5 linked regions of the Cricetulus griseus genome follow. The protein of the gene in region 3 purifies or fractionates together with the protein of the main gene of each other region. This does not show direct contact. Links are inferred from orthologs where the notes say so. Each region holds a gene or a part of one and is shown on either strand. Other genes may lie near its edges.

Region 1 (6,307 bases), on a different chromosome or scaffold from region 3:
TATATCAACTTACTTTTATTTATGTATACAGTGTGTTTTGCCTGTGTGTAGCCCTAATCCAGAAGAGGACACTAGATCTTATTAGATGGTCTTGAGCCACCATGTAGTTGTTAGGAATTGAACTCAGGACCTCTGGGAGAACAGTCAGTGCTCTTAATCCCAGAGCCATCTATTCAGCTACCAACTTAGTTTTAAAGGAAAATTTCTTTGGTATGCCTTTCTATATATTTTATGATAATCCTTAGAAACATTCCCACATTTTAAGCTCATCTTTTAACTGGTACATGCTATCAGATGAAAGTGTTCTCCATAAATAAAGATCAGAGGTCCCCTAAATACCTTGCCTCCAGAAGCACAGAGGGATCCATCTGGAGAGACTGTCACTGTGTTCAGATAGCCAGTGTGGCCAATGTGGTTGGTCTTCAGCTTGCAGTTAGCCAAGTTCCATACCTAGGGAAAAAGGTGAGTGACCAGGATTATGGCCACAAGAAAGAATAGCATCTTCCTTAAAGGTAACTCATAACAGGTTTTTATGCAAGCGCATGTAATCCCAATATTTGAGTGGCTGACACAGGCCTATCAGAGATACAGAGTGAGATCTGGCCTCAAAAACAAACTCAATCCCTAATGAACTTAGATAAAGCATCAAGAGCCAAAGCCAAGGTAATTTAATTTGCAAAACATTCCAAACCGGAGTGATTACCATCTCAGAGGAATGGGAACATTTTTAGATTTCTAATGGGGCCAGGCCATTGTTGAAGCTCACCTTGACCAGCTTGTCCCATCCACAGGAGACGATGATAGGGTTGCTACTGTTCGGGGAGAAGCGGACACAAGACACCCATTCTGAATGACTCTCATCCTACAGAAGATGCAAGGTAAGTAAGAGGACTACAGATAACTACCCTAAGTGGGGCAACAGCACTCTCTGGCAAACCTATACTTCTGGATCAACAGAACAGTTGGTAAAGTCATTTGTCAAGCCTGCTGATTCATATTTGAGTCCTAGGATGCCTCCTCATGGAGCACAGTGCCAGGCACAGCTCAGAAACAGCCTCTGGATTTCAGCACTGCACCTCAGATGGCATGTTGGAGTCATCACTGCTCTGCCTGGCTTGTAGCCCCCAAGTACTTAAACATACTTCCAGGAGGTAGGTAGAGATTTTAAAACCCCCTAACCCTTAGGGAAGTTATGGGACACATCTGGGTATTTGCTCATGTGTAAGGGCCTGCCCAATAGATGCCTTGGCCTAGGGTTCCATGCCCCAACTCAGAAGAAAAATCAACTCCCAAGTCCCAAGCCACTCATGAGCAAGAATGCATTAAATATATAGTAAAAACCAACCAAATCCCAGACAAATGCCACACATTACAAAAGAGCTAGATGGTGGCACACAGCTTTGATCCCAGCATGCAATAAGCAGACCAAAGTTCTAGTCTAAGCAGGGTTACATAGTAATGAACCATCTCAAAACTGCAACAAAATCCCCAAGGGCTGGGAGATAACCTCTAACTTGTAGCCTTTACCTCCATCACTTTACCTGGACAGTGTATTTGCAGACACCGAGAGTATTCCATAACTTTATGGTCTTGTCTCGAGATCCAGACACAATCTGCCGGTTGTCGGAGGAGAAGGCTACACTCAGTACATCCTTAGTATGGCCTACAAATCGTCTCGTGGTGGTGCCCCTAAATGGGAGAACCTGGTCACTTTCTAGACAAATCTTATCCTTTTAGTCAGACCCTTTTCTTGGCTACATTGCTGCTCCAGTAGGCTCTATCACTCCACACAGCTTATATGTGGCTTTGTTCTATTATTAGCCCATTCTTGGTATGTGCCAGAGAACCCATTCAGAATTGCAGGACATGTCCTCATTCCCTTGTGGGGATTGGTTGACAATGTCTTCTTGTCATCACTAGGATCCTCTATTACACCTGCCAAATGCTCATCTAGGACAGCTTTCAAGATGAAACACTTATTTTAACAGCTGGCGGTACCCGGTAAAAACGCTCCAACTACACGACAGCCCTCTAGCTCCCTCCTCAAAGAGGTCAACACCAACATCTTACCCCACCCTCCATAAAAAAACCAATTTCCGAGGGAGACCACACCCTCGGGAATCTACCTCAATTTTGCCCAGCTCTCCCCCAAGGTCCCAAAGCAGCTACTTGCGTTGTGAGATCCCAGAGGCGCAGTGTTCCATCCCAGGAGCCTGAGAGGGCAAACTGGCCATCAGAGGAGATAACGACATCACTGACAAAATGGGAGTGACCTCGAAGCGCACGCTGTGGTATGCCATAGTTGGTCTCGTCCCTGGTTAGCTTCCACATGATGATGGTCTTGTCTGAAAAGGTTGGGGAAGAAATTACATAGGCACCCACACCTATATACTGGGCATAATTTACAGTGCTTTACGGTTACTGGTGTAATAACAAGGGGAGCATCACTACATTCAGTGAGAGGAACTGAAAAGATGTAAGGCACACCCGAGACTATGGGGTACCACACTTGCTGGGATTGAAACTCAAATCCAACCCAAGATTAATTTGTGTTGAATGTTTCCCCTCCATGTGTGCCCATGTTGTTTTTAGAAGAGGGTGTCAGATTCCCTGTAACTACCTACAATTGCAAGTCACCATGTGGGTTCTGGGAAACAAACCTTACCTAGTCCCCTTGAGGAGCCAGTTTTATCTATCATCACTCCAGCACAAGGCTAACTCAAAAGTAGCAAAGTCACTTGGGTGTGGGATAAGCAGACCACCTTTTGTGCCTTTAAGGGTTGACTAGAAATGCAGTAGCTATGGTAGAATAAGACAGTCCTAGCCATGCACCATGTCAAACCATACAGAAACGAATAAAGTGCCTGATAAGCTTCACACGAGAATGAACATAAATTTGGGCAGATAGGGAGACCTGGGTGGGCAAATCATGATAAAGATAAGTCATGAGGAAAAATAAAAAGCCTTAGTTTACGCACTGCTCAGAGCTCAGGGCCAGACGGCAGCTCAGAAACAGCCTCTGGATTTCAGCAAAGTAGCTCAGATGGCATGTTGGGGTCATCATTGCTCCGCCTGGCTTGTAGCTCCCTAACTACTTAAATATATCTCGAGAAGACAGACGAAGAGATTTAGTCACCTAATCTTATGGGAGTTATGCGACACCTCTCGGTTTCCGTCCATGTGCAAAGGGTCGCCCTAGTTGGGGCCCAGGTTCGGGTCTGCACGCCCCAACTCATAACTGGGTGGGGGAATGGACCAAGCCAGCCAACCCACGCGCCACCTGCGAAGCCAGGAGACGCGCAGTCCCCGGGAAACGCGCTATTTCGCCCGGCATGCAGCCCGTACCTCGAGACGCAGACAGAATCATGTCTGGGAACTGCGGGGTGGTGGCGATCTGTGTTACCCAGCCGTTATGGCCTTTGAGGGTCCCACGAAGGGTCATCTGCTCCGTCATGGCTGCAGCTGATACGAGTGTCGCCGCAGCGACAAGGATGGCACCGGATAGCTCAGAGAGCCAAGCACCACAGCGGCAGCCACAGCGACGCCGCGGAGAAAAAGAAAGAGCGGCCTCCGGCGGAACCGGAAATACCCGGAGAGCAAGGCGGGGGTTCCCATGATTCCCTGCTGCTCAAAGATGGCGTCACCAGGTAGTGGGAGGGGCTGGGCGCGGTAAGTCGCAATGTCGCCGTTTCTTCTGCCACGGAACATAATTTGGCGACTGCTGAACAAATGCGTTCTTAAGTAAGCTTTACTGGGTTTTAATAAAGGCTCCTCGGCAGATTAGTACGTGTTCAGGAAGGAAAAGTAAGACGACCGGCTCATCGCCATACTGCAGCGGCTCCTCCCTCCCCGGCTACGTGGCAGAGACGGCGCCCCGCCCTTTTCGCTTGGTGTTCCGGTTCCTGGGTTGGCGACTCCGATTTAAGCTATGACCTAAGGAAGTATATTTGAAGTTGCAATTAAAGGCGTGTGCCGTCCAATCTGGCCCTTTTGTTTTAAGGGATTTTTATTGGAATCCCTTTCTGTGACTCTGACCATTCCACAGAAAAGCCTGCTAGTTTGTCTTGTGTAGCCCTGAAAGAAGTGGCTGGACAGGGAAGCGGAGGAACACTGATAATTTGGTAACCTGATGACCTTAATCTCAACACTTAAGTTTGCAGTGGCCCTCCGATGTCACAGATCTCTCCTTAAATTTTACAACTTTTTTTTTTCGTTTGTTTGGTTTTTTTGGGGGGGAATTGGGTTTCGAGACAGGGTTTCTCTGTGGCTTTGGAGCCTATCCTGGAACTCACTCTGTAGACCAGGCTGGTCTCGAATTCCAAGAGATCCGCCTGCCTCTGCCTCCCTAGTGCTGGGATTAAAGGCGTGCGCCACCAACGCCCAGCCCGCCTATTTTTTTTTTAATTTTTAAATTTATTTATCCATATAGTGTTCTGCCTGCATATGTTCCTGCACGCCAGAAGAGAGCAAATCTCGTTATGGATGGTAGTGAGCCACCTTGTGGTTGCTGGGAATTGAACTCTGGACCTCTTGAAGAACAACAGCCAGTGCTTTCAACCTCTTAGCCATCTCTCCAGTTTAAATATTTTTAAAAAGGACCACCAGTTAGGATGGTAGCAACCACTAACATCTATGAACTAAAGGTCACATTTATTTATTTTAGTTCTGTTGCTGAACTGCTGTTTTAGGCTTTAGGATACAGCTATGAACAGAAGAAAGAAAGAAAAAGCCAGATGGCCATTTTGTTTGCAATAATTTACATCTTGTGGTAGAGTAAGGCAATGTGGTTAAGAGTGAAGTAGGGAGCTGGGTGGTGGTGGCGCATGTCTTTAATCCCAGCACTCGGGAGGCAGAGGCAGGCGGATCTCAATGAGTTTGAGGCCAGCCTATCCTACAGAGTGATTTCCTGGGCAGCTAAGAATGTTACACAGAGAAACCCTGTCTCCAAAAACCAAAAATAAAAAAAGTGAAGTTTGGAGTAAAGACATAGGCAGATGCGAAAGCAATCTCCTGTGATCATGTTCTATTGCAAAGGTTCTTGACTGGTATATGAGGGCTGAACAGTGAGAGTTGGCACAGAACCTGCTAGATTAGGGTAAGCGCTGAGCAAGGTACATTGAAGGCATTTGGAAAGGAACATGTTAGGCGAGTATAGTGGCAAGGCTGCTGCACCCTGTGGTTGCCCAGCTGTGCAAAGACTAGGGCTTCTCACTTAAGGCCACTTGCTTTCTGGGCCTCTTGCAGGCCCCCGCCCCCCCCCCCCCCCCCCCCCCCCCCCCCCCCCCCCCCCCCCCCCCCGCTCCTTCCCGACTCTCTGGACTACACAGGGTGCTGTCCTAGATGTGTTCCTTTACAGCCTGATGAGTGTCTTTTTAGGACCCTAAGGTTATATATCACCTGTGTCCTTGGTAAACCCAACTGAATGACTTTCATTTTCTATTGTTTTGTTTCTGTGGTGGTCCTGGAAGTCACCTGTCCTTACTCACCCCATAATCAGTTTGCTGCCCTTTAGGTGGGTCATGCTAGCACCTTTCTGTGTCTCTGTACTGCTTTTCGTAAATAGAAAGGTGAATCACTACACCCACATTCTAGCTTCCTTTCGATGAACTGACATTTATTTCCCTTTGGAAAAAAAAGTCATTCTCTTTTTCCTCTGGTCTTGGGGATTGAATCTAGACTGTCTTGCTAGACAAGCATGCTGCCAGTGAGCTACATCTCATACTCCTTCCTTCCTTCCTTCCTTCCTTCCTTCCTCCCTCTCCTCCCTCCCTCCCTCCCTCCCTCCCTCCCTCTCTCTCTCTCTCTCTCTCTCTCTCTCTCCCTCTCCCTTCCTTTCTTTCTTTTTTCTTTCCTTTTCAAGACAGGGTTTCTTAGGGGGCTGGAGAGATGGCTCAAGGGTTAAGAGCACTGTCTGCTCTTCCAGAGGTCCTGAGTTCAATTCACAGCAATCACATAGTAGCTTACAACTATCTTTAATGAGATCTGGTACCCTCTTCTTGTGTGCAGATATACATGGAAGCAGAAAGTTGTATACATAATAAATAAATAAAATCTTAAAAAAAAAGCGGGGGGGGGATATTTAAAAAATAAAGATCAGGTTTCTCTGCGTAACAGTCCTGGCTATCCTGGAACTCATTTTGTACAACAGGCTGGCCTCGAACTCACTGAAATCTGCCTGCCTCTGCCTCCCCAGTGCTGGGATTAAAGGTGTGGGCCACCAATGCCTGGCCCAGACCCTTTGCTTCCTTTCTTTTTTTCCTCTTCCTCCCTTACCGCCCTCTTTTCCTCTCTTCATCCCCTTCCCAAG
Region 2 (6,300 bases), about 29 Mb from region 3:
CACAGTCCTGACCATTCTACTCCATCATGTTCTTCAAGGGAGACCACATCAGTCCCTTTGACATTTGGTAGCCTCCAGCTGCTCACATCACCTTAGCCACACCTAAAACGCAAATCTAAGCAAGCAGCTGTTTCAGACAGCTGTGCCTTTCTGAAAACCCTTTAACCATTTCCCTTGCCTCAGGGGTAAGGATGACAGTCCGATTTCATTCTCAGTACCAAATCTAATTGACTGGTCTGGGATGCCTGTGGCCCTAGATTGCCAAGGAATCCAAGATAGGACTGATCCTGGCTCAGCAGGAGAGGTTAAAGATGATTAACGATGGACTCCAAATGGAGATATAGACATGCAGAAGGCAACCCAGGGTGTGTGAGCTGCTAAGCCCAGCCACAGGAAACTGCCATGTGCCCTGTGTCATCCTCTACACTGTTCCTTCATTTCGCTTGGAGACTTACAACCCTGGGATGCCCCACACTTTCTTGGATTTTATGCTCAACCCTAGAGATCCCCCTCTTCACCTAGCTTTGCCTAGAACTGTGTCACCTCCAGAAGAAGCCATGGTTGACACACACATCCCAGGCAAGGTCTTCCAGTCCCTGGGCATCCCAGAATCTCACACTTGGCATTCTGTGTGAGATGATCAACTTTCACACTGGGAGCACCATGCCTCTCTTATCTTGGTACCCTCCCAACCCCCAGCAGTCCCAGCCCCGACCTAGCATAGATGTCAGTACTACCTGTTTGCTGAACAGAGTAAAATGGGATACAGCCTACAGCCTGTGCAAGCAAACAAGAAGCCCAGGCCCTGGGAGTCCCAGAAGAAAGATGGATGGATGAGGTGACACCATGACCTCTCACACCAGGGGACTTGATGGTGTCACAGTGGCCAGCTTGCCTCAGTTTCTCACACTCACACTGATGTCTCTTTGGGAGAAGCCAGTCCATCTCTCCCCCAACTGGGGCTCCCTGAAGCCCACACAGAAAGTTTCCAGGGAGCTCTCCCCCCCACATCCCACACATCCCATTGGGCTCCTATGGCCCTCAGGACAGAGCTGTGTCAGCCCTAGACAGCTAACAGTGCCTGTCTCTCCCAGGAGATGCTGCTTCCTTTCCTAATCCACAGAGGCACCCAGAGTGTGGGAACAGTGAGGAGTCAGCACACACTACAGACTCACCTTTCCATTGGGGCTTGCCTTCTTGAACACTCTGTGAAAAGAAAGAGAGGCCAAGCCAGGGTTAATGGATTCTGCCCAGCCAATCTCTTGCAGGCGACCCTAGACAGGGCCATAGATAAAGGCCTTGAGTGTCCTACAGGGACCAGCAAAGCCTCAGAGCAGGACAGCTTCCTTCCTTCCACCTCTCCTCCTAGGATGAATGTTAGCTGCCTGCAGCCCTCCTTCAATCCTTCAGAGTGGGCTGAGGGAGACTCACAAGCCCACCCAGCTCGAGTAAAGGAAAATCCTTCAGTGCCTGCTAAGTCCCAGTGATCTGACCTGGCCTCTTTCCCTCCCTATGTCACCTCCTGCCACCCTCCCTTAGTCTCCAGCCTCACTGCTCTCCAGCCCCTCTGTTCCTCGTTCCTTATCCACCAGGTGATTGCTGCACAAGGCCTTTGCTCCCAGTTTCCCCTACCCTACTCTCTTACCCTGGACACTCTTCCCAAATGCCCACTTTCCCAATCCCACTACCCCTGTCAGCCAGTCCTTCTCTTGATTCACTCTTCCTTTCTTCCCAGCAACCCCCTGACCATATACTTTACTTCTTGCCCCACCTGTCTGCTCTGCTGGCATGCCCGCTCCAAATATGCCCACTGTCTCTCCTGTCCACGGGTACATCCCAAACACACACAAAGGCACACGTCACTATTGTTCAAGAAATACTTGTTAAATGATTGAGGGTGGCAAGAGTACAATATAAACTAGTTGAACAGATAAATGAATGAATTTCATTGCTTCACTGAGGGACAGAGGCACAGGAATGTGGGGGCAGATGCCTATGCTCGAATAGCAGAGCACTGGGCCTGAGATTAGATGGTAATGTAGTCCCTAAATCCTGAAGAGTGCCACTTGCCTTTCATGGCAACCTTTCCCCTTCTAGAGCTGTGTCTGGGAACCCGAGTCTCCCTCGCCTAAGTACCTTTATCCAGCCCACAATTTCTCAGCCATTACTGGGGAGAGGCAGAAGAAAAGTGAAAGCTAGAGAGATGGGGATGAGGAAAGGTATTGAAAGGAGGGGAGGTGTGAAGAGAGAAGAGAGAGACAGAGGTAGAGGTATGAAAATAAAAGATGAACAAGAGACAGGAGGAGAAGAAAACCAGGGAAAGAATCAGAAAGCCTGAAGCAGGGAGAGATGGGACAGACCCAGAAAGGTGAAACCCCTAGGCAGCCTCAGCAGGGTGTGCCCCAATCCTTCCCAGAAGCTGATCTGCAGGCATCCAGGCCTGTGACTGTGTGGGGTCTCCACAGCCATGGCCCTGCCTCACCCTCCCTTCTGGGACCTAGGGAATATTGACAGGTCTGAGTATTGCTTGCAAAGGAGAGCGTGGCCCAGCCTCTCCCCAAACATTCCCCTAGGGGCCCTGGGAGCCTTGTCTTCTCATTAATATTTATCAGTGTTGGGAGTGTGAAGAAGCCACAACTGGCCAGGGTGTGATAATTGTTAAAGTAAGGGGAAAAAAATGCAGACCACTCCATCTGAACCAGCAACTCCAAGCTAGAAGCTAGGAGCTCCATGTTTCTCCAGGAAACCAGAGAAGTGAAAACCCTGTGGCTTCCAAGTCACAATTACCTCCAGCCCTTGGTAGCCTGTGCTCTAAGGAAAAGGAAAGATCTCACACCCAGGCAGGATAAACAACTGAGAGAGAAAGCCACTCTAGTGGCTGCCGGGAAGGACGAGGCACACGTGGGGCCAGGAGGAGCAATATTCACCAAGCAGCGGAGAGAGGCAAAGGGGAGGGGAATTAAAGCTCTGCCGAGCAGCTCATTATTTCTCATAGTAGAAAGGATAGTCTAACTCCCACTCCACAGATAATTAACTGGAGGCTCCAAGCGATGCATTAACTTGCCCAGGAGCACAGCAAGCAAGGGGCTAGGTCGGGACCCAGACTCACTTCTGACTGGGCCTCCAGAGATTGGTGCCTTAATCCAACCCACTGTTTCCTAAATCCATGTTTCAAAACGGCAGGAAGAACAGACAAGAGGGGAGGGAGAGAGGGATAAATGAAAGGTGACTGGGGTGAGGGGCAGAGTGGGGCTGAAGAGGGGCAGGAAGCACAGCCATCAGTGGGGAATGTCCTGCCACTACCTTAGTCAGCACCCGAGGCCACCTCCTTCAGGAAGCCAGGACTCTTGTGGCTTCCTCAAACAACAAGAGCAGCTGCCTCATTCTCTGTCTGTTTATTATTCCCCACTCATGCCTTTAAGTACTTTTCCCAGGACAAGGCTCTTCCTGGACAATCCCATTTCAAAGATGGAGACATTGAGGCTCGAAGAGGCACCCACGAGACTCAACCACTCCATCACATAGCCAAGCACCACCACTCAAAACTCCACTCACTTCTTGCCCCAACACTGTCAGAAAAGAGGCTCTATGGGGTATTTTCCGTTTCCACAACCCCACGTGTGCAACACCGCATAGACCTCTCTGCCCGTGGCCTAACCTAAGCCCACAATCCCAGCCAGCCTTGCTGAGCAGCTGCGTCTGTTCACCCCCAGCCTTGCCTGTGCCCCACAACCTGAGCCTTAGTCACAGCTGGGTTCCCCAAAGAGAAAGACCAGCAGTGTCCTTCCTGGTTAAGGTTCAGGATAGCTCGAGAAAGAAGAGGAGGTCCTAATAAGGAGGCCAAAATCTCACGGGAAGGATGAGCAGGCAGGATGCGCTGGGGCCGGAGCTGAGAATGGGGACGCCATCGGAGCCTCAAGCCGTAGCTCCCTGTCTCCACCGCTCCTTCTGGGGCTGCTGCAGGGCCTCCTGGCTGCGAGGCTGTCTGTGCGGCTGCTCCATTGTCTCTGTGGACCAGCGCGCCCCGCTTACTCAGGGATTTTTCTGCTCCTCCATCCTTTGGGCTCGCATGTGACTCACACTCCAACCCTGTTTCTACCCTGCCTCTCACTCAGCTTCCCGCTGCTAACTGACTGAATGGCCCAATTCCAAATTCCCAGGAGAGGAATCTGATTGGTCAGCTTTGATTAGGTACCCCACCCCCTGGCCCAATCACCTGTGTCCAGGACATAGCCTGTGGTCCATGAAGCATGAGCAGAAGAGGCTCTGGAGATTAGTATTGTCCAAACCAGAGGTTGCAAGTCACTGGTTGATTAGGAAACCTACTTAAAACATTACAGGTCGGAGAGCTGGCTCAGTGGATAAATCGCCTGCTTCACAAGCATGAGGACTTGAGTTCAGATGCCCAGTACCCATGTAAAAGCTATATGTGGCAGGCTGCACCTGTAACCTCAGCACTGGGAAGGCAAAGATAGGCAGATCCCGGGGGCTTCTGTGGCCACACAGTCTGGCCTACATAAAGAGCTCTGGGTTCACAGAAAGCTCCATGTTTAGTGATGGGCCCTGTTTCAAAAAATTAGGTGAAGAATGATAGTGGAAGACATCCATAGTTGACCTCTAGCCTCTACGCACACATACACATACAGTACGTACATACACAGAGATCCTTTTTTTTGAGGCAGGGTCCTGGAACTCAAATACAAACAAGCTGGCTTCAGACTCACAGTGATTCTCCTGCCTCTGCCTCTCAGGTGCTGGGATTAAAGACATGCGCTCCTATGCCTGATTATATTTTGAGGTTGGTTGTTTGTTTTCAAGACAGGGTCTCACAAATGTAGCTCTAGCTATCCTGAAACACACTATGTAGACCAAGCTAGCCTCAAACTCAGAGATCCTCCTGCCTCAGCCTCATAAGTGCCACTACACCTGGCTTTATTTTTTGATTTTTAATGAAATGGGATGGACTAGACTATAGAAACAAGTGCTACAGGCAACAAAGATGTACTAGATACTCCCTACAGGCACCAGGATTCCCTGAGGCTGGATGTATGGGATGCCAGGCATCTTCCTTCCTGTGGAGTTGGACGCCCCCCTGTGGCTTATTCTGACCAATGAAATGCGGGTGCAAATGTCACATGCCACTTTCAGCCAGAGGCACAGAAGGAACCATCCATGGGTCCCCAAACCCTTCAAGCTCATTTTCTGTGGCTGCTATTTACAAAGTCCCACGAATTCAGTGGCTTCAAACAACACAAACTTAACTAGAGTTCTGTGCTTCAGAAATTCAAGTGGGCTTCCTTGAGCTAAAATCAAGGTGTCAGCAGCCCTTGATTACTTCTGGGGGGTTCTAGGGCAAATCTGCTTCCTACTCTCTCTGGCTTCTGGAAGCCTCCTCCTTCCTCCATCTTCAAAGTCAATGAGAGAAGGTGGCCTTCTCATTATATACGGCATCACTCAGATCTGCCCTCCCTTTCCTTTTGAAAACCATTGAGATGACACAGGGACCATCTGGGTAATCCAGAATGATCTCTCTGTTTTAAGGTCATCGGATTAGCAGCCTGAAGCCCATCTGCAACCATCATTACCCATTGCCACATAGCACAACATTCAGAGGCCCCAAGGAGTAGGACCCCGACATCTTGGGACAAAGCATTGCTTTGCCTACCACACTGTCTTTCTGTGGCTGCTAAATTCAGCAATGTTCTGGATATTCTGCTACATGGTAGTACAAACAGAGAGGCTTGAGTCCTGTCAGATACATGATTGTAAAATTTGAAATCCTGAGCTGGGTGATGATGGCTCATACCTTTAATCCCAGCACTCGGAGGCAGAGGCAGGTGGATCTCTGAGTTGGAGGCCAGCCTGGTCTACAGAGAGAGTTCCAGGACAGGCTCCAAAGCTATCCTGAGAAATCCTGTCTCGAAAAAACAAACAAAAAATTTGGAATCCTGAGGCATGTGTTACAGCAGCAGACCAGCTGGAACCCAACAAGGAGAATGCCTATGATAAACCGATCCTGAAATTCACAGGGGAATGCAAGGGAGAAGAACTGCCAAAACAATCCTGAAAAGAATAGGACAAATTTGGAAGGCTTGGACTTCTCAACTTCAAAACTTACTACAAAGATACAGTGATTAAGGGGGCTGGAGAGATGGCTCAGTGTTTAAGAGCACACACAGCTCTTCTAGAAGACCTGAGTTTAATGCCAGTATCCACACCGTGCAGCTTACAGCCACCTGTAACTCCAGCTCCAGGGGTATGACTCCTCTGGCCTCTTCAAGCATCTGCACACATGTACAC
Region 3 (5,747 bases):
TTTAGAGTTCAGCCTGTTAGTCCAGCCACTCTCCAAATGTGGTCTCAGGCCTGGAATGTCACTCAGACTTTTTCCTCCATCCCTGTACAGAATAAGGCCCCTAAAAGTGCTATGGCTCTACCAGGCATGATGGTACACTCCTATATTCTTAGCACTTAACAGGCTGAGGCAGGAGGATTGCAAAATTGGGCTTCATAATAAAACCCTGTTTGTTTTTTTAAATTTATTCTTCTCTCATATATTGCATCCCAGCGGTGTTTTCTCCTCACAGTCACTCCCCCTACACTTCCTCTCCCTAAGATCCACTCCTCCTCATTTCACTTCAGAAAAGGGCAGACCTCCCAGGGCTATCAACCAAACATATGACATGTCCAATTACAAATAAAACTAGGCACATCCCCTCATATTAAGGCTTGGTGACCGCCGGGCGTTGGTGGCGCACGCCTTTAATCCCAGCACTCGGGAGGCAGAGGCAGGTGGATCTCTGTGAGTTCGAGACCAGCCTGGTGTACAAGAGCTAGTTCCAGGACAGTCTCCAAAACCACAGAGAAACCCTGTCTCGAAAAACAAAAAAAAAAAAAAAAAAAAAAAAAAAAAAAAACAAAAAAAAAAAAAAAAAGGCTGGATGAGGCAACCTAGTAGGAGGAAATGGATCCTAACAGCTGGCAAGAGTCAGAGACAGCGCTACTCCTACTGTTAGGAGTCCCACAGGTACACCAAGCTATACAATTACAACATTTATGTGGAGAACCTGGGCTGTAAGACCCAGTATTTAAAAAAAAAAAAAAAATTCTAAAGCTTTATTGACCCTCTGTCTTTGACTTTGAAGCATTAGTTGGGGGGAAAAGAGTCATATGACCAAGGGTTAGTCAGATATGCACATACATACAGAGGAGGGGCTAGCCTTGTCTTTTGAGTGTCTAAACTTATCTGATACCCTCATGAACCAGGAGGCATTTAGGGAAGAGTTGTAGATGCTGGAAGTATGTACATAGCCAGAACCTTCACCTTCCTGCAGAGCCCCCTGCTTTCTTCCCCATTAAGACCATAGCAAAAGCCTGTGACCACAGCATTTCAAAGCACTTCTCCCTTAGAGGCAGCCAATCTGACCTGCAGGTCATGAATGCAGCAGCCATTTATTTTTCTTTGGAAGCACAGTCAGGGGTTTCTCTCTGAGTGACACGTGAGCAGAACCTGCAGTGCTCCCTGGGTTTCCGTTGAGCACATTTTGCCCGGAAGACTTCGCAGTGTTCTGTTCTCACTCAGTCTCTTGCCTTTAGCTCATTAGTGTGACAGAAAGACTCAGGATGTTTGGGGACTAAGGACAACTCGCTGGAGAGCTTTGGGTGTCCCGCCTCTGCAGTTGGAATATTGTGCTGCAATCAGGGCAGGCTCAGTGCCTCACCATACCTCACAGCAAGGGTGTATCTGCCACAGAGCACAGGGATTGCCCAAGTCAGGGCCCACCTAGTCTTATTCCAGCTAGAGCACTCTTGGGGTCTTATATCCTTCTGGTTTGGTGTCAAGTTCAGACTAAGAGAAGCCCCTTTTTGTGGCAGATCTTAAACCTACCTGCCTTTGGTGGCTTCATAGAAGCCGTCAGATGTCCACACCTGCAGAGCACCTGCTGTCCTCTCAGGCCAGCTACAGGTTTGCTGTCATTTAACCAGATCCCCATTAGCAGCCAGCTTACTATGGATGAGCTGAAAGTTAAGGCCACCTTCTTCACTAAAGAGGCTGTTCTCACAGGTTGAAAAGCAATTACAGGCTCATGCCTCATTCTCTGGGTGGGTGGCCAGTGCAGTGAACTGAACTGAAGCAAAAGATGAGCCCATAGGAGCTCCCTGGTGAAACACTTAGACCCTTGATGGAAAGTAAGAATGCTTCCTACAAAAATCCAGACAGAGCTTAGCACAGACAGCTGCTAGCTTCAGAAAAGAGAAAAGTAGTGCACAAGCTTCATAGTGATGTGTGGATCTCTCACTCATGGATGTGCCTTTATGCCCCAGGTGAAAGCGACGTTCTCCGTTTCACCTCCACCACCACCTCAAAGAACCGGATCATCATAACATGGCACCGGTACCGGCCCCCAGATTACAGGGATCTCATCAGCTTCACGGTTTACTACAAGGAGGCGTGAGTTTCTGTGTTTGTGCCTGCTGTCCTGGTGTGGAGCTTCAGGGTGGAGATGACAAGGCCTTTGGTTATTATATGAGTTGGCTGAAGAGGGAATCAGTGGGTTTCCTTTGAAGAGTCAGACCTGGTGACCACTCCATCTTCATGTAGCCTCTCTAGTTGTCACATGACACTGTCCCAACCTGTAACAGCTAGTCAGGCCTTTCTTTGTTTAGATGGTTTGAATGTTTGATCAAGTTCAACCCAAAGGAAAAGGGGATGAATTTTAAGAGACTTGGATCCATCCAAACTGTCATAAGCTATCATGTGGACTTGGTTAAAATAAATGCTTTAGACTCTGTCTCTGAATACACTGGTCCGATATCTTCCATTCACTCTGTGTAAGCATAGCTTTGCCCGGACTCTGCTCTGGGTCATGAGCCTTGTAGAATTAAAGAATGGAAAGGGACCAACCTCAGTATCAACAGTTTCCAGGATCTTCCAAGACTTTCCCAGTACTGATAGCATCATCCTGCCTATGCAGTCATGACTTGCTCCATGTTGCAGCTCTTGGAGGCATTTCATCACCCTACTTGGCCTCCTGTGTCCAGGTAGTTCCCTAGTCTATATGGTCATTCATTTTCCCAAGGCTCATCTCCCCAGAAGCAACAAGCAAAAGTGCTGGTACAAGGGTCCTGGGTTATAGCCCATGAATGGGGGCATTGATACAATTTGAACAGTGAGTCATCTCAATGTTCCATCTGTGCAGAACCCTTTCTTGTCTTTGAAAGTGCTGCCAATACATTGGCATTGTTAACTGGTGATTTCTCTAATGCCACTTTCTGTGAGACCATCGGGAAGTAAAATATTTAAGTATTATCAGCTTATATTTTAGAAACTTTTTTGGTAAGAAAGTTAGTTTTGTTCAAAAGTAATCCTTTATCAATATCCAGTGTTTGCATGAAACAGCTATGATTTAAAAAAAAAAAAAAAAAAAAAAAAAAAAAAAAAAAAAAAAAAACCTGCTCCAGTTCAGAAGAAAGAAAGAAAATCAGTATCTGTCTGTCTCAGGAGCAGCTTTTTCAGTCCCTGCGAATATAGAACTTGCTGTCTCTCTCTGAGGCTGCTTGTTCAGTTCTGTGGTTCATAGCTGGTGAGCTCCCGAGTCCAGATGCTGGATTTTATTCTTGTATAGAAATCTAATTGATGATGAGTTTTATTTGGAATTCCCATTATAGACAGTGTGACACACTCAGCCACTGGGGAAGGTTCTTGAGAGCTGTGTTGCCAGAGCCCTTCAACATTCTCTGGCCTTCATTGATTGTCTTTCAGACCCTTTAAAAATGTTACGGAATATGATGGGCAGGATGCCTGTGGCTCCAACAGCTGGAACATGGTGGATGTGGACCTACCTCCCAACAAGGAGGGGGAGCCTGGCATTTTACTGCATGGGCTGAAGCCCTGGACCCAGTATGCCGTCTATGTCAAGGCTGTGACCCTCACCATGGTGGAAAACGACCATATCCGTGGGGCCAAAAGTGAAATCTTGTACATTCGCACCAATGCTTCAGGTATCCATGCACCAGATGAGCCCCCTGTTCCCTGACTTGTTATAAGCTTGCTGTAGTTAAGTGTGGCTGTAGGGATAGCAATGAGATGCCTGTTGTTGCTGCTTAACACTGTGTTGTATTATTCTCACTGCTAACACCTCAAATTCTGCTGAGCCATTTTCTGGACTTCATACTTTCTTAAGCCTCTCTCTCTCTCTCTCTCTCTCTCTCTCTCTCCTCTCTCTCTCCTCTCTCTCTCTCTCTCTCCCTGCCCTATGCTAATGAGCCTGTATCCTCCAGAGTTGTAAGATGGTTTCGTTCTGAATGCCCAGGGTGTAGCCACCTACAGCTGTTCTCATCTGTTTTAATGCAGACTCCTAGGACCTAAAATGATGCTGATCTGTGCACTAGATCTGTGCTGCTCTACTGGCTTACTGGTTTTCCATCTTTATTCTTTGGCCAGCATTTTCAGCAGGCAAATAAAGGCTAAAAACCTAATGGGCTTAGAGCATTGTGCCATCCAAGCATGGACTGTTGACTGATTCCTCCTCATCTTCTCTTCATGTGCTGAAGTACTAATTCCCCAACTCCAAAACCTAGAAATGGTGAAAGCAAACATTTGCATGAATTTGTATGCAAAGACAAGAGATATATATATATATATATACTTCATTGTAAAGGTAATGACTGTCTTAATACATTTGGGCTATTACAACAAAAATTCTATCTTACAAAGCAGAGAAACATACTCCTCACCATTCCAGAGGTTGGGAAGCCCAAGATCAAAGGGTTGACATTTTGTGTCTGGTGTGAGCCGCCTTCTTGGCTCATGGAGATCTGTTTGATGTGTCCTCACATGCCCGAAAGAGTACACATAGCAGTCTCTGACCTTCTTTTGTTAGTGTTAGTTCTGTTGATTAAAACTCCACCCTCATGACCTAATCATTTTGCAAAGCCCCAACAGTTGAAGGCTAGGGTTTCCACATAGTGACTTGTGGGGTGAGGCACACACACACAGTCCACAACACCAGTAAACATTCTCTGAGAACAGATTATGCTACAGTGAGTAGAGTGTGTTAAAATAGTGCAGACTAGCACAAAGTTAAGTATAAAATGGCAGAGTGTGAAAATGTTAAAAATAACGCAGAGCTCATACACCCCTACTTTTCCAACCCTTACCCCATAAGCAGTCACCATCATTTGCTGACCCTGAAGTCTTCATAAAAATGGATTTTCTACAGGCTTCTAGTCCTGGGAATGAGTTGATTTAGTGGAATTTCAAGTGCAACAGAATACATTCATTTTCATCTTAGAATTTGGGAGTAACAATTCCCAGAGAATCTTTGCAGCCTATTTAAGAAAGAAAGTGGAATTTCTTTTTGTAGCAGATTGTTAAGAAATCTGGTTGTTCTTCCTAAATATTAAAAACTGCATTTTGGCCCCTGTCCTCACAAGTACTAGGGACTGTTATGACATACTTGGTCCATCCTTTGCCCCTGCTTCATCTGTGCAACCTGTCATTGAAATATCTGGTAATAAACTTTGAGAAATTCTTTTGGAAACCCTGAAGGACCAGACATCAATGACTATAGTTTCTTTACAAAAGTTAGTATTAGTCCTGATCTCCCGGCATGCCACTCCTCAGCTGTTCTCAGAGTCTTCAGCATCTCATACATCCCAAAGTCCTTATTAGCTAGTTAGTCCTTTCTGTGGTATGTGACCAAAAACAACCTGACAAGGAAAGAATTTGGCTTACCTATCTGGATCATGATCTATCATTAAAAGGCCAGGGCAGGGGCTGGAGAGATGACTCGGTGGTTAAGAGCACTGACTGTTCTTCCAGAGGACCTCAGTTTGATTCCCAGTACCCACATGGCAGCTAACAACTGTCTGTAACACCAAGATCTGGCACCCTCACCCAGACATACATGCAGGCAAAATGCCAGTGTATATAAAAAAAGAATAAATAAATTATTAGAAAATAAAAGGCCAGGGCAGGAACCTGAGCAGAGGCAGGAACTATGGAAACGTGCTGCTAACTTAGAACAATTTTCTTTCTAATAAAAAAAAGGTGGGGGAAGT
Region 4 (6,413 bases), on a different chromosome or scaffold from region 3:
TTTTTTTTTAAGTCTTTAAAATGATTACTCTGTGACTAGGCATTAAAGAAAATATTACATAAGCCCCTAGCACTGAGACAGGGCAATAGAAAATGCACATTTATTGTAAGCAAAGCAGTATCCTGGGTGGGAAAGAACACATTCTACGGTTTGCAAAGGAAAGGAGATTTTAAGAAAATCTGGTCGGTGGTGGTGCACGACTTTATTCCTAGCACACGGTAGGCAGAGGCAGATAGATCTCTGTGAATTCAAGGCTAGCCTGGACTACAGAGTGAGTTCCAGGACAGTCAAGGCTGTTATGAAGAGAAACCTTGTCTCAAAAAAACAAAAAGAGAAAAACCCAAGAAAAGAAAATCTTCACAAATATATGTAGCTATATTATAGGTTTTCATTTTTGTTTGTGATGCTGAAGATCTAACCCAAAGTCCTAAACACACACACACACACACACACACACACAGAGAGAGAGAGAGAGAGAGAGAGAGAGAGAGAGAATCACTAACCTATAAGCCCCACCCTATGTTATGTTTTGATATGTGAAGGAATAATTCAGGCTGCCAAGACTGCTTAGCAGGTCTGGCAATCCGAGTTCTAACGTGGAATCCACATGGTGGAGGAACAGAGCTGCCTCTTGCAAGTTTTCCTCTGACCTCCATACACGAGACGTGACTTACATGCACCACATATAAATAGATGTTAATAAAACAATTCATTATACATAAAGCAAAAAAGTGACAGTAGCAAAACTTAAAAATGAGCCAGGCAGTGGTAATGCACCCCTTTAACTCCAGCATTTAAGAGGCAGAGGCAGAGGCAGAGACAGACGGATCTCAGTAAGTTCGAGGCCAGACTGATCTACAGTTCCAGGACAGTCAGGACTGTTACACAGAGAAACCCTGTCTCAACCCCCCCCCAAACAAACAAACAAAAACCCCACAAAACCCCAAACAAACAATCAAACCTTACAAATAAATGACAGGGACTTACTTGGAAGAAAGTCCAGAGACAACAGAGCAGCATTCTCTTAAAATTATTTTTATTTTATGGAGTTGCCTGCAAGTATACCACAAGCATGCCTGGTGTTTTGAAGAGGGTGTGAGGTTCCCTAGAAGTGTAGTTACAGAGGTTTATAAACTGCCATGTTGGTGCTGGGAACTGAACTCTAATTCTTCGAAAGAGCAGCCGGTGCTCTTAACCACTGAGCCATCCCTCCAGCCTTAGACTGGTATCTGAGTTGTTTCATCAATGCCCTTTAACAAAGCAGAGTATAATACATTAAAAAGAGAGTAGCAGCAACTAAGTGAGAAACTCTGGATGTAAGAATGTAAGCAAACAGTGCAAACACCTTCATTCTCTCTTGTGACACTGTGAATCATGCTGGGGCCTGCACAGGTCAGGCCAGCACTCTCCTGTAAAGGCCAGCACTACAACCTTTCATGGGTTCTGGCTAGGGAACCTGAGGATTAACTAAGAAAAGACACAATAGGTCATTTTTGCAAGGAGAATGCCAGTTTATTTCAGAGGGGAGGAGACTTATATGCCAACAGCAGCCACAGTGGAAATTTACTCAAATCAAAGTCCATGCTCTCAAGCCCCCTGGCAGAGGGCAGAAAATTTACACTCTGGCATACAAACCTAGGCAGAAGGAGGAAATGGACAGCGAGCCCCAGGGGCCCCTTAGGTCACCCAGCCGGGTCCCAATGTTAGGAAGGCAGTGGTGGCATACACCTTTAGTCCCAGCACTCTGGAGGCAGAGGCAGGTGAATCTCTGTGAGTTTGAGACCAGCCTGGTCTATAAGAGCTAGTTCCAGGACAGCCTCCAAAGCCACAGAGAAACACTGTCTCGAAAAAAGCAAAACAAAACAAACAAACAAACAAACAAAAAGAGGCATTTGAAATAGAAACTGTGGACTTTCACATTAATATTTTACACTTTCGGCATCAAACATATTTTATCCATCACCAAAACAAAACAAAGAGAAGAAACATTAGAAATTAAAAAAAAAAATAGCTTTACATCCGTTTGTAGCTGGTGTCCACCACCTGCATTCAGTTTCCCCCACCCTTATAATCAACAGGAAAAAGAAATTTCAGTAGAACAAAACGCAGCAGGAACACATGCACCTGTAATGGCTGACATTTTCAGGAATGGGTATTGATTTTAACATGAAGTTATTGGTGCTTAGCCTCTAGGCCCTGGGTTCATCTCCAGCCTAGATGGGGTTCAGGCTAGGGAAAGAGGCGTAACAGGGAACTAATTAGGTGGGACCTATGGATTATGTATCTTAAGAGATAGTCATACTTTGGGGTTCTTTGCAGAAGTGTTCACGGCAAGAAGGAACTCTTTAATCTTTAGGGAGGAAAGTTCAGAGCGCCCAACACAGTGAAGTGATAGAAAACCGGGGTTAAGATGTGGTGGCTCCTTCCTTACTCGGTATTTTGCAGCGTTTTCGCCTACGCAGTAGCAAAAGCGCTCTGTAGTGTTTGAAACAGGTATACTTTTCGACTTCAGGCAGCCCTGCACCCCACCCCTCCCAACCCCCGACCCGCGCCTCCCGGCGCAGCTCGGCTTGCACGTGACTTTCATTTCCGTGGCGCGGAAACTTGCCGGGACAAGCCTCCTCCAAAAGGTGGGCCTCCGCGGATCCCATAATGCCCCACGCTTCCCACGCCCGTACGCCGCAGCCCCGCCTCTGTGTACGCGGCAGGGCGGGCCTTGCGCGGGACTCGGATACGATTGGTTCTGAGGGGAAGGTGGGTGGGGCAGCGCGGTGACGTCGCAACTCTCGCGCACGGAAAGAGCGCGCGCCTAGGAAGCGGCAGCATAAAAACGGTTGCGGGCGCCCAAGTTGGTAGTCGCTCCCTGCGGGTCCTCGCTGCCACTTCTGCATCGCGAGCCGGGAGACCTTCGCGGCCGGCCCTCTCTCCTGTCACAGTCTCTAGTATCTAGTCGTCGCGACTCCGCCAGGATGTTCGAGGCTCGCCTGGTTCAGGGCTCCATCCTGAAGAAGGTGTTGGAGGCTCTCAAAGACCTCATCAACGAGGCCTGCTGGGACATCAGCTCGGGCGGCGTGAACCTGCAGAGCATGGACTCGTCGCACGTCTCCTTGGTGCAGCTCACTCTGCGCTCCGAAGGCTTCGACACATACCGCTGCGACCGCAACCTAGCCATGGGCGTGAACCTCACCAGGTGAGCGGGTGGCGGGAGCTGGGCTCTAGCCCTCCCGCCTCGGGTCTTGGCGGGGCTCCGGCTCCGTGCTCTCATTGGCTGACGTGGTCATCCGCGCCTTCTGATTGGTGTCTGGAGCTGGGGGCGGAGCCCGAGGAAGCGCGCGGTTCTGAAAAGCCCGCGCTGGTGGCCGCGCGAACCCGCTGTTTCCGCGCCAAAGCCACAAAACGGGTGCCGGCGGGAAAATGCCTGCGTTGGAGATCAGTTCATTAAACGCCAGCAGCTTTTTTTATTTCAGGGCACAACCTTGTCCTGGCTAATTTTAGCTGCCTACTAAACGTGTTCTGGTGAAAATGTGGTACTGTCCACTTAGAGGGACAATAGGCCTTTTCTACTTGGAGTCTAGAATCTCATTGCGAATCATTTGTGGGAAAATTTACCAGTCTTAGCTTTTAACTTTGTTACAGATGCATGAATTTGCCACCGGTATACGTTTTAAAAGATTTGTGAAAAGGCCACATATGATATAGGGCACACTCTGATACACTGGAAACCAAGGACATCCTGCTCAAAAAATTATTTACTGGCATATTGCCTTTGAGTGGTTTTAAGGATCACATTCCCGATAGTTTACTCCCCCCCCCAGGGGATTTGGTGTGGGCGTAAAAGGGTAACATCTTGTAATTGCCTTTAAAAGAGTAGATGTTGAACACATGGTGTTGATAAGCCCTGCTTCTTGTTTTCTAGCATGTCCAAAATACTAAAATGTGCTGGTAATGAAGACATCATTACACTAAGGGCTGAAGATAATGCCGATACTTTAGCACTCGTATTTGAAGCACCAAGTAAGTTACACCTCTAAAACTCAATTGTTACAGAAAGCAAAGTATGATCTGTTTCTCAAAACTAAGGATATTAACAGAATTGCGGTTGTAAAGTTTTACACCATAGGTATGAACATGTGCTTCAATAACATTTGCTTCCTTTTGTTAGATCAAGAGAAAGTTTCAGACTATGAAATGAAGTTAATGGACTTGGATGTTGAGCAACTTGGAATCCCTGTGAGTATCTTGTTCTCGTTTCTGGTGGTCTTTGAACTCATTCTGTAGACTCAAACTCAGCAGAGATCTGCCTGCCTCTGCCCCCTTAGTGCTGGGAGAATATCCTGTTTTCGCTGGTGAATTTTACCAAGCTGTGATACCAGCTGATGAGTTCCAAAGTGGGTATTTGGAATGAAAGACAATTTCACTAAGCAATGACAGTCTAAAATTGAGTTTTAAAGAAATCAGATACTTGTCCTCACACTTCTGACCTTTAACTTTGGGATTTACAGGAACAGGAGTACAGCTGTGTGGTAAAGATGCCTTCTGGTGAATTTGCGCGCATATGCCGAGACCTTAGCCATATTGGAGATGCTGTTGTAATATCCTGTGCAAAGGATGGGGTGAAGTTTTCTGCAAGTGGAGAGCTTGGAAATGGAAACATTAAGTTGTCACAAACAAGTAATGTTGATAAAGAGGAGGAAGCTGTAAGTAGTAAAAGTTGTCTGCAGTGTCTGAAAGGGGAATGAATATAAGCTTAACTGCTGAGCTGGTTCTCCAGACCTAGCTCTTTTGAGGTGGAGTGTGAGTAGACCAGGCTGTCTTTGAACTTAGATACTCCACACTCTGCATATATGCTTTCACAGGTGGGACTGGGAAGCTAGGTGTTTCCAAGCTTTTGCTTCCTAGAATGACTGACAAATAAGCATTAACAAGTGAACAGAAGAAAATGGTTGGGGTTGTGAGTCTGTTGGGATCATGTAGATCTTGTAGTAAGTAGCTTTGTGTTGGACTTTCACGTGCTACCCCATTTAATGGTGCAAAAGCAGACTAAGTAAAGTTGAGTGTTGATAAGTTTTAAAGTCCTCAAAAATGAGGAAGATGTTGGAAAGGCAAAGGAAAAATGCCTGGAAAGCCTCATTCAAGCAGAAGATACTAGGCTAATTGCTAAATATTCAGAAGTCAAAACTTTTTAATTATACTAAGTTTTTTAAAAAGTTTTGCCAGCTAGTCTGAGCATCAGACTATAAATTGCAGACACAGTCTGAACTAAATATGATTTTTAGTGCTAAATGTAAAATTCGGAGTGCTTAACACAAAGTGTTTAATGTTATTTTGTCTGCAACTTGTATAACTGAGGATTAGAACATATATACACAACCCATAGGGCTGGTTCTTAACCTTAATCTGTCTGCTTAATTATTCCTACTTACCTGTCATCCTCAGATCACAAGGTATTTAATTCATAAGTATTTTGTTTAAAGCATAAGCATTACCACAACAAAGGAAATTAAGTTTTCAGTATTCACATGTTTCTTATTTCCTTAGTTTGAATTGGGACTTGAAAAAAATTCCTGATAAAATGAAAATTGGTCAACATGTCCCTTAGCTTGCATTTAACTTGTTGCTTCTTGTTACTAGAGTTGGTTATGAGCTGCTGGATGTGGGTGCTGGGAACCAAACTTGGATGTTGTGGAAGAGCATCGAGTATTAACTGTTGGGTCATCTCGCCAGCCGTGGTTACTTTTGGGGGTGGGAGTTGAGTGTTGTACATTGAACCCAGGACTTATATTAGTCAAGTGCTCTACTGGTTAGCTATCATTCCATTTCTTTTTCCTCTATATAGATTCTTTGGAAGAGATTAGTGCTTGCAGTCTAGAAAAGAACAGCCACTTTCTTTGTGTTGCTTGGGGTATGCTTCTACAAGAGATAGGCTAAATGTGTTTTAGTCTTCAAACTTTTCATAAAATCCTCCAAAGTGATAACTAAAGGTTTTTGTTTTGTGCTGTATGTTATGTACTAATGTGTGAGTTTCTTGATGTTGTGTTAAGTGAGCCTGTTTTCTTCTCTAGGTAACCATAGAAATGAATGAGCCAGTTCAGCTAACTTTTGCACTAAGGTACCTGAACTTTTTCACAAAAGCTACTCCACTGTCTCCTACAGTAACACTCAGTATGTCTACAGATGTACCCCTTGGTAAGATACTAAGTTTTAACATTGTTTTGTAGTATAGTAATTACTCCTCAGTCATTAACTTTTCGATTAAATTTTCCCATCTTTTAGTTGTAGAGTATAAAATTTCTGACATGGGACACTTAAAGTATTATTTGGCTCCCAAGATTGAAGATGAAGAAGGATCTTAGGCGTTGCTAGAATCTGAGAAAACCAAGCCTTTGAGAACTGCTTCTGAGATGCCAGCATGT
Region 5 (6,276 bases), on a different chromosome or scaffold from region 3:
CCGGGTGGGGGGCCGGGGTGGGTTGGGCATGGGGGGAAAGGCTTGGTAGGTGGCAATGAACAGATCTTTGCGGAAAGACAGGCCCAGTACATCCAGGTCTTCTCGGCCATAGCGGAAGGCGCAGGTGAGGGTAACAAACACTGGAAAGCGAGGGCAAGGTGGGATGATCAAGAGACATCCTTCATGTCGCCCACATCCTTCCTCAGCACGACAGACTTCCCTGAATCCTACCCCCTGCTTCTGCCTCAGCCTTCCATCTGTCTGGGACACCCTACCAATGCCAACCCATCGAATTCCTTCTTCTTCCTGCCTCCCCTCCAGCTCCTGGACTTGGGTCTAGTACCTTTGCGGTCCTTCAAGTAGTCAGGATCCACGAGCACCACGCCATCTAGGAAAGGGAGACGTGGATTCATTTTCTGAAGGCGGCCTTTCCCCATCCCCAGAACCAGGAACCTCCTCCCTCCTGGGGGGATGAGCTACCCCCTTCTAGGCAAACTCACCCACAGGATCCACTTTGTCCAGGTGGTCTACAAAGTCGCGCTTGCCCAAGTACACGGTGAGCTGAGGATGTCAAGGGTCACAGGCAAAATTGGGGAGGATGGTGGCAAGCCACCAGAGCCCTCAAAGATGGCGGCCCTGTCCTGGGCTCCCCTTGGCTGGGTTATCAGGAAGGAGTTTCTCCCAGTGTTATTGGAAGGTGAGAGTGGTAGGGCTTTCCAGACTATTCAGTAAAGCTTTCATTTAGGCTTTTGTCTGCTCCTCTGGTCACTTTTCATACCGCTGTCCACCAAGCAAGGACAGAGGTGTATGTGTGTATATGTGTGTGTTCCCATGTCTTCAGGGAGCACTCAGTCAGACCAGGCAGTTAGCAGCTCTCCCCACAAAGGGCTCTGCAATAAACAGGCCACAGCCTGGGGAACTATTAACTTTTCCTAGTCCCAAGTACCCTGGGTTGGTTCCTAAGAGAATTACAAGCTTGCTTAGGAACCTAGCCTGGTCCCCACCCAGCCCTGTGGCTTCTTCAGACTGTGGCAAGGGGCTTAAGGAGGGAAGGAAGTCTGCTTTTAGCTGTCACAGGAAGTGGGGAGCTAAGGGTTGGGGATCAGCTGGGGGTAGGTTGGGCTTTGATAGGGCCCAGGAAGGATCGAAGCATAAGCACTGTGGGTGACTCACCTTGCAGTTAGGGCTCGACTTCTTGAAGACCCTAACAAAACAGAAAGGGAGACCCCACTGCCTCCCTTAGACTCAGCAGGGACCACCACACCAGGACTTATCCCTCCCTAGCCCAAGAAGTGGAATTCACCCTGGATCCCTGGTCTACCCTTCCCACTTTTTTTTTTTTTTAACAAAGTCCCAGTATTTTCCACATGGCAGCCCCTTGAAGCCAACTGTCAGGGCAAACACTTGCTCCTTTGATTTGATCCACCTCTACAGTAATGGCCACTGGTTGCTCCAGGAACCATCTAGACTCTCCCGAGGGCACCGTCCCCAGAAGAAGATGGGAACTAGATGGCTATCCAATGTCTGGGTCAGACCTAACACACTTTTCTTTTGAGACCGGGATTTAACTATGTAACCCTGGCTGGCCTGGAACTTGATATGTAGACCAGGTTGGCCCCAACTCTGAGATCCACCTGCCTCTGCATCCCTGATGGTGAGATGAAAGGCGTGAACCACCACCCTCAGTTAAACTAGCCACTTTTCAAATGACCTCTAGCTTCGAGGACACCTGGAGCAGTGCCTTGACTTTACCCCTCAGTTTCTACTGAAGGCACTGCCCACATCTGCTTATTTCATGAACCTCCAACATCCCCATCTCTGACCTCAGAATCTTAAAAAAAATGCATTTGTCGGTCAAGGCCTAACTCAGACATCATCTCCGTCAGATTGAAGACTCGGCCTCGACTTTAACCGCCAGCACAATAACACTCCCTCCTCCCTGTTCCTTTCCCATCTTGTTTATATTTTACTTGTGATTTCACAAAGGCTGACAGCTGTGACCCCTGGGATCTTGTACATTGAGGTGTCCCAACACAGTAGCATCCATGTGACAAAGAGGATACTGGCTAACATTTATTGGGTGACTGTTCTGGTCCTAGCAGTGTTCCAATTGCATTGTGACTACTCTAATAGCCCAAAGACATAAGTCGAAATAATTCCTGTTTTAGATAGAAGAAACCAAAGCATAGAGAGGTCAAGAATTTTGTCAAAGGTCAGAGAGAATGCACATGGTGGAACTCAGGCATAAACTTAAGGAAGACAACTCTGACTTTAAGTCCCTGCTGTCAACCATTAAATTGTTAAACTGGCCCATCACTGACAGTTTGTCCAGTTGAAGAGGGTTTTCTATACAGGCACTGAAATAATCTAAGCCTAGACTCCACCCGTGCTGGGAGCACAGAGAACTGTCTAGTGATCCCCAACCCATTGCTGGGAGCATAGGGAACTGTCTAGAGACCCCAGGGCTCTGGCCATTGCTACCTCTTCTAATGCACTTTGCTTCAGCAGCAACTCCTGGAAAGGGTTCCTAGAGAACGAACTGAAACACTGCCCAGTGTTCCATCCCTCTTTCAACTCATGTGACACATAGGGTCACATGACAAACTCATAGAGTACCCCTGAGTACCCCCAAGCAACAAAGGCAAATACGGACATGGTAGCAGTTAGAATTATCATTCTAATTTCTGTCCCAATGAGGGCTGACAGCTAGTATATCACCTAGGCTTGGTCTCTCTTCTACTTCTGGCTTCCCGATGTCCTATGTTTTCCCCAAAAGAAGCCCTGACAAAAGGCTGTGACAGCTACAGTGTGCCTCTTGGTTAGTTGCCCTGAGTAACTACAGGGCACCCGCCCTCTACATCTTATCCAGCCATCTCCTGCCAGGTTAGGGAGGGAAATCGTATGCCCATACTGAGGCTGGCCAAATTGGCAGAGTAAGGGAATTACCAGGGAGGTGCCCAGCTGTGCGAGGTAGCTAAGGCAGATGCCCTTTTGTACTTCCTGCCATTCTCTCCATTTCCTATGGCCCAGAATTTGATGAGACTGTAAGGAATTATGCCAAGTCAGCAGTCTCTCCTTGGTCCATCTATTCCCTCTCCTGAACACGCAATGGAAATTAGGGGGCCTCCCCCAAGTAAGTGACTTCCCCTTTCTCTGGGGTGTTTTAACCCCAAATCCAGGAGGCCAATAGTTCCTCTGATCATCTCTCTCAGATATCAGTCCTCTTGACGCTTAGAAGCCTAAATTCTCATACCCCAAGGGCAGTGGGAGTGGTAGGGTTGATCCTGGGTTTTGCAGAGTGACTGTTCAGGATCAGGCCCTTATTCTTAGTCCTCTCTCTGGCTTAAGGCAGAGAGCCCCAAATCATTCTTTTGCTCTTGCTCCCTTGGAACTCAAACATTCACCCCATGTCCTCTTGGGGGTGTTTGGTCACAACAGGAAGTGGATTTTGCTATAGACCAAAAAAGAGAACTCTGGTATCTGTGGAAGGAAGGAGCCTCGATTGCCCAGAAAACATCCGGGGAGAGGATGTGTGTGCCCAGAGCAGATACCACCTCTCCCCCTCCCAGGGACAGGAATACAGTCCAATTTCAGCGAGGGTTCCTATGCACTCTACTCCCTCAAGAAGCTGTTGCTCCTAGCAACCTAGGAGAAGACCGAAGTTTGATAGCAGAGCTATCCGGCCCTTGGGACAGGTGAGAGCAACCAGACTATGGGGTATTGGACAGGAGGCTTTCCATTGGTTGGGCACCAGTCTAGGGGAATCCCTTCCCAGCATCCAGTCTCCTTGCACACAACCCCTCGGGGCCGGCCACCTGCTCCTCCTTCCTCCGCCCCTGCATCTCAGCCTGCACAGAGAACCCAGTAGTCCGACTCCTACATCTCTGCGAGAACCCAGGCGTGGGTTTCCCGATCACTATCAGCTCTTGCTTTCTGCAAGAGCCCAAGCACGCTTCCCAACCCCGATATCTTCAAGCAAGGACCTAGGCTTGCGGCCCCAGACCGCTACCCTCTAGGGACCCGGGCATCCGGCCCCCGGGTTTCTTGCCCGGTGTCCTTGTCTGGGGATCATGCTGTCACCCTCCGCGAGCCGCCGCCCATGCCCCGCAGCACGTCCCCACCTCCCTTACCTAGTCCCGGGTTTTTCCCCCATGGTGCGCGCGCTCGCCGCCCTCCGCCCGCCGGGTTCGCGGCTCGCTCGCAGCCTTCTTGCCCGCTGCCAGGTCCCCCCGCTCCTCCCCGCGCCACTGCGCACGCGCGTCCTCTCTCTTTCTCCTCCTTCCCCTCCCCTCGGGTCTGGGTCTCGGTGAGCCGGGGCCAGCTGCGTCAGCCGGATCCCGCGCGCTGCGGCGCTGCCCGCCCTCCCCGGACTGGCTCCGCCCCACGCCTCCGTCCTCGGTCTCCCTGGGGGACGCCTCTCCGCGCGGTCCCTCTCCCGCTCTCCCCGCCCATCTCGCCTCCCCTCCTCAACCCCTTGGAACCAGATTGGGCCTCTTTAAATGGAGGCGGCTGCCTTCCAGGCAATTAGAGCCATCTGATTGGCCTTCGGTATCCATAGCCCTGCAGGGATCCCTCCCCTTTGTTTGCTTTCACAGTGGCGGTGGAGGGACGGGATAGTGGGGGCGGTGGGAATGAGATCAAACACTGTCTGGGTCTGACGACCTGGTACTGCGCACGTGGGTGAACCCTATCAGTTGCATGATGATGTGCGCTGCTCATCCCTGAGTTTGCAACCTTGTTTGGCCCGCCTTCCCGCGTTCTTGTGGTCTTTCAGCTCCCCCTGGTGTTATTGTCTTTGATTTTAGCAGGATCACTTCTAAATTTTTCTCCGACTTTGCCATCTCCTCTACTATCTACGCCAGCTATCATCCACCCAGTCCATCCATCTCTCTCTTTCTCCATCCTTCCCTCCCTCTCTATTTTGTGTTAGTCACTGTGCAAGCCATTGGGACAGCACATGAATTACAATGGCCTAACTTTCCTGGGATCCTTGAGACATGGAAGACAGGTATTATGCTCCCAGGAATGCTGTAATAGAGGTATGACTCAGAACATCAGGCAACTAAAAGCGCTTGGCCAGCGTGGGGGGAGGAACAGAGTGCAGTCAGTCACTCCAGAGGATAGGAAATTTGAGGACAGCCGCTCTGAAGGATGGGCAGAAGTGGGGAAAGGACGTCCTAAAGACTGCGTAAGGCAAAGTAGTAAGTACATCCTGTTCTCAAGTGCTTGTGGGTTAGATGGCAGGAGAAGGAGAACTGCGGAGGACTAGAAGGGATTGTGGAGATTTTGTGTAGCAAGTGAAAGAAAGAGCCTGAGGAACCGGTCCTGTTAATTTAATTTAAATTTTCTGCTAGGGCCTCAAACATGCTTGGCAAGTGTCACCACTGAGCTATATCCCTACCCCCAGCCCAGGAGATATTTGATTTTGATTTTGTTTTTCACCAGAAGAATGTAGTAATGAGGGGCTGGAGAGATGGCTCAGAGGTTAAGAACACCGACTGCTCCGCCAGAGGTCCTGAGTTCAATTCCCAGCAACCGTATGGTGGCTCACAATCATCCTTATAAGATCTGGTGCCCTCTTCTAGTGTGCAGCTGTACATGGAAGCAGAATATTGTATACATAATAAATAGATAAAAAATCTTAAAAAAAGAATGTAGTAATGAAATTTCTGGTTTTGGGTAACGTGGAGTATGGTGGGGAGGGAGGAAGACTGATAGAAATAAGCTGGCCATGAGAAATCGGTAAACGATGGCATGGAAGAGAAAAGAGGGGCCATATTAGAGGTTCATTTCTGGGGTGACATTGACTGGGTTTGGGGGAGGATGAAGGATGGCTGATATTTCTAGACAGGTTTTTCTCCTCTTTGTCTTTTTGTACTCTTCCCCATTTTCCTCAGATGGAATACCTTTGTGCTTTTCTCTTTACTTGTCCACTGATTGTCCATGAGACGAAAATCTCAAATCCCCTTTAATTTTCAAACAGAGGCCTTGCTCAACACCTGTTACCTGCCCTGCCCAGTTCTATTGTCATCTCTTCAGTTTACTCTTTTTTTATTATTAAAATTTATTTTTTGTGTATGAGATTTGGCCTGCATGTATGTATGTTCACCACTGTTTGTGTACATAGTCCGATGAAGGCATCAGAGTTCCTGGACCTGGAGTTACAGTTATAAACCTCCATGTGGGCCAGGCATTGGTGGTGCACGCCTTTAATCCCAGCACTGGGGAGGCAGAGGCAGGCGGATCTCTGTGAATTTGAGACCAGCCTAGTCTACA

What was found.
Region 1: the proteins of Igf1r (region 3) and Rack1 purify together in Homo sapiens (affinity purification with western blotting; 4 studies listed by BioGRID, with this or other methods). This does not show direct contact. The link is inferred for Cricetulus griseus from reciprocal best matches to the Homo sapiens genes IGF1R and RACK1.
Region 2: the proteins of Igf1r (region 3) and Arrb1 purify together in Homo sapiens (affinity purification with western blotting; 3 studies listed by BioGRID and IntAct, with this or other methods). This does not show direct contact. The link is inferred for Cricetulus griseus from reciprocal best matches to the Homo sapiens genes IGF1R and ARRB1.
Region 4: the proteins of Igf1r (region 3) and Pcna purify together in Homo sapiens (affinity purification with western blotting; 3 studies listed by BioGRID, with this or other methods). This does not show direct contact. The link is inferred for Cricetulus griseus from reciprocal best matches to the Homo sapiens genes IGF1R and PCNA.
Region 5: the proteins of Igf1r (region 3) and beta-arrestin-2 purify together in Homo sapiens (affinity purification with western blotting; 4 studies listed by BioGRID). This does not show direct contact. The link is inferred for Cricetulus griseus from reciprocal best matches to the Homo sapiens genes IGF1R and ARRB2.

What each region holds. Positions count from the first base shown.
Region 1 is NC_048600.1:63,455,821-63,462,127, reverse strand, and holds the start of Rack1 (receptor of activated protein C kinase 1), read right to left. Parts: upstream 3,577-6,307; 5' UTR 3,455-3,576; coding exon 3,346-3,454; intron 3,071-3,345; exon of another isoform or gene 3,003-3,070; intron 2,346-3,002; coding exon 2,174-2,345; intron 1,925-2,173; exon of another isoform or gene 1,845-1,924; intron 1,690-1,844; coding exon 1,542-1,689; intron 1,109-1,541; exon of another isoform or gene 1,041-1,108; intron 863-1,040; coding exon 767-862; intron 451-766; coding exon 340-450; intron 1-339. UniProt on the Homo sapiens protein: Scaffolding protein involved in the recruitment, assembly and/or regulation of a variety of signaling molecules. Interacts with a wide variety of proteins and plays a role in many cellular processes.
Region 2 is NC_048596.1:99,978,863-99,985,162, forward strand, and holds the start of Arrb1 (beta-arrestin-1), read right to left. Parts: upstream 4,131-6,300; 5' UTR 3,909-4,130; coding exon 3,853-3,908; intron 1,207-3,852; coding exon 1,176-1,206; intron 1-1,175. UniProt on the Homo sapiens protein: Functions in regulating agonist-mediated G-protein coupled receptor (GPCR) signaling by mediating both receptor desensitization and resensitization processes.
Region 3 is NC_048596.1:129,027,517-129,033,263, reverse strand, and holds part of Igf1r (insulin-like growth factor 1 receptor), read left to right. Parts: intron 1-2,009; coding exon 2,010-2,136; intron 2,137-3,447; coding exon 3,448-3,686; intron 3,687-5,747. UniProt on the Homo sapiens protein: Receptor tyrosine kinase which mediates actions of insulin-like growth factor 1 (IGF1). Binds IGF1 with high affinity and IGF2 and insulin (INS) with a lower affinity. The activated IGF1R is involved in cell growth and survival control.
Region 4 is NC_048599.1:46,329,837-46,336,249, forward strand, and holds the start of Pcna (proliferating cell nuclear antigen), read left to right. Parts: upstream 1-2,959; 5' UTR 2,960-2,969; coding exon 2,970-3,190; intron 3,191-3,916; coding exon 3,917-4,014; intron 4,015-4,162; coding exon 4,163-4,230; intron 4,231-4,502; coding exon 4,503-4,697; intron 4,698-6,062; coding exon 6,063-6,186; intron 6,187-6,273; coding exon 6,274-6,353; 3' UTR 6,354-6,413. UniProt on the Homo sapiens protein: Auxiliary protein of DNA polymerase delta and epsilon, is involved in the control of eukaryotic DNA replication by increasing the polymerase's processibility during elongation of the leading strand.
Region 5 is NC_048600.1:84,229,742-84,236,017, reverse strand, and holds the start of beta-arrestin-2, read right to left. Parts: upstream 4,261-6,276; 5' UTR 4,154-4,260; coding exon 4,131-4,153; intron 1,205-4,130; coding exon 1,174-1,204; intron 562-1,173; coding exon 501-561; intron 389-500; coding exon 344-388; intron 141-343; coding exon 1-140. UniProt on the Homo sapiens protein: Functions in regulating agonist-mediated G-protein coupled receptor (GPCR) signaling by mediating both receptor desensitization and resensitization processes.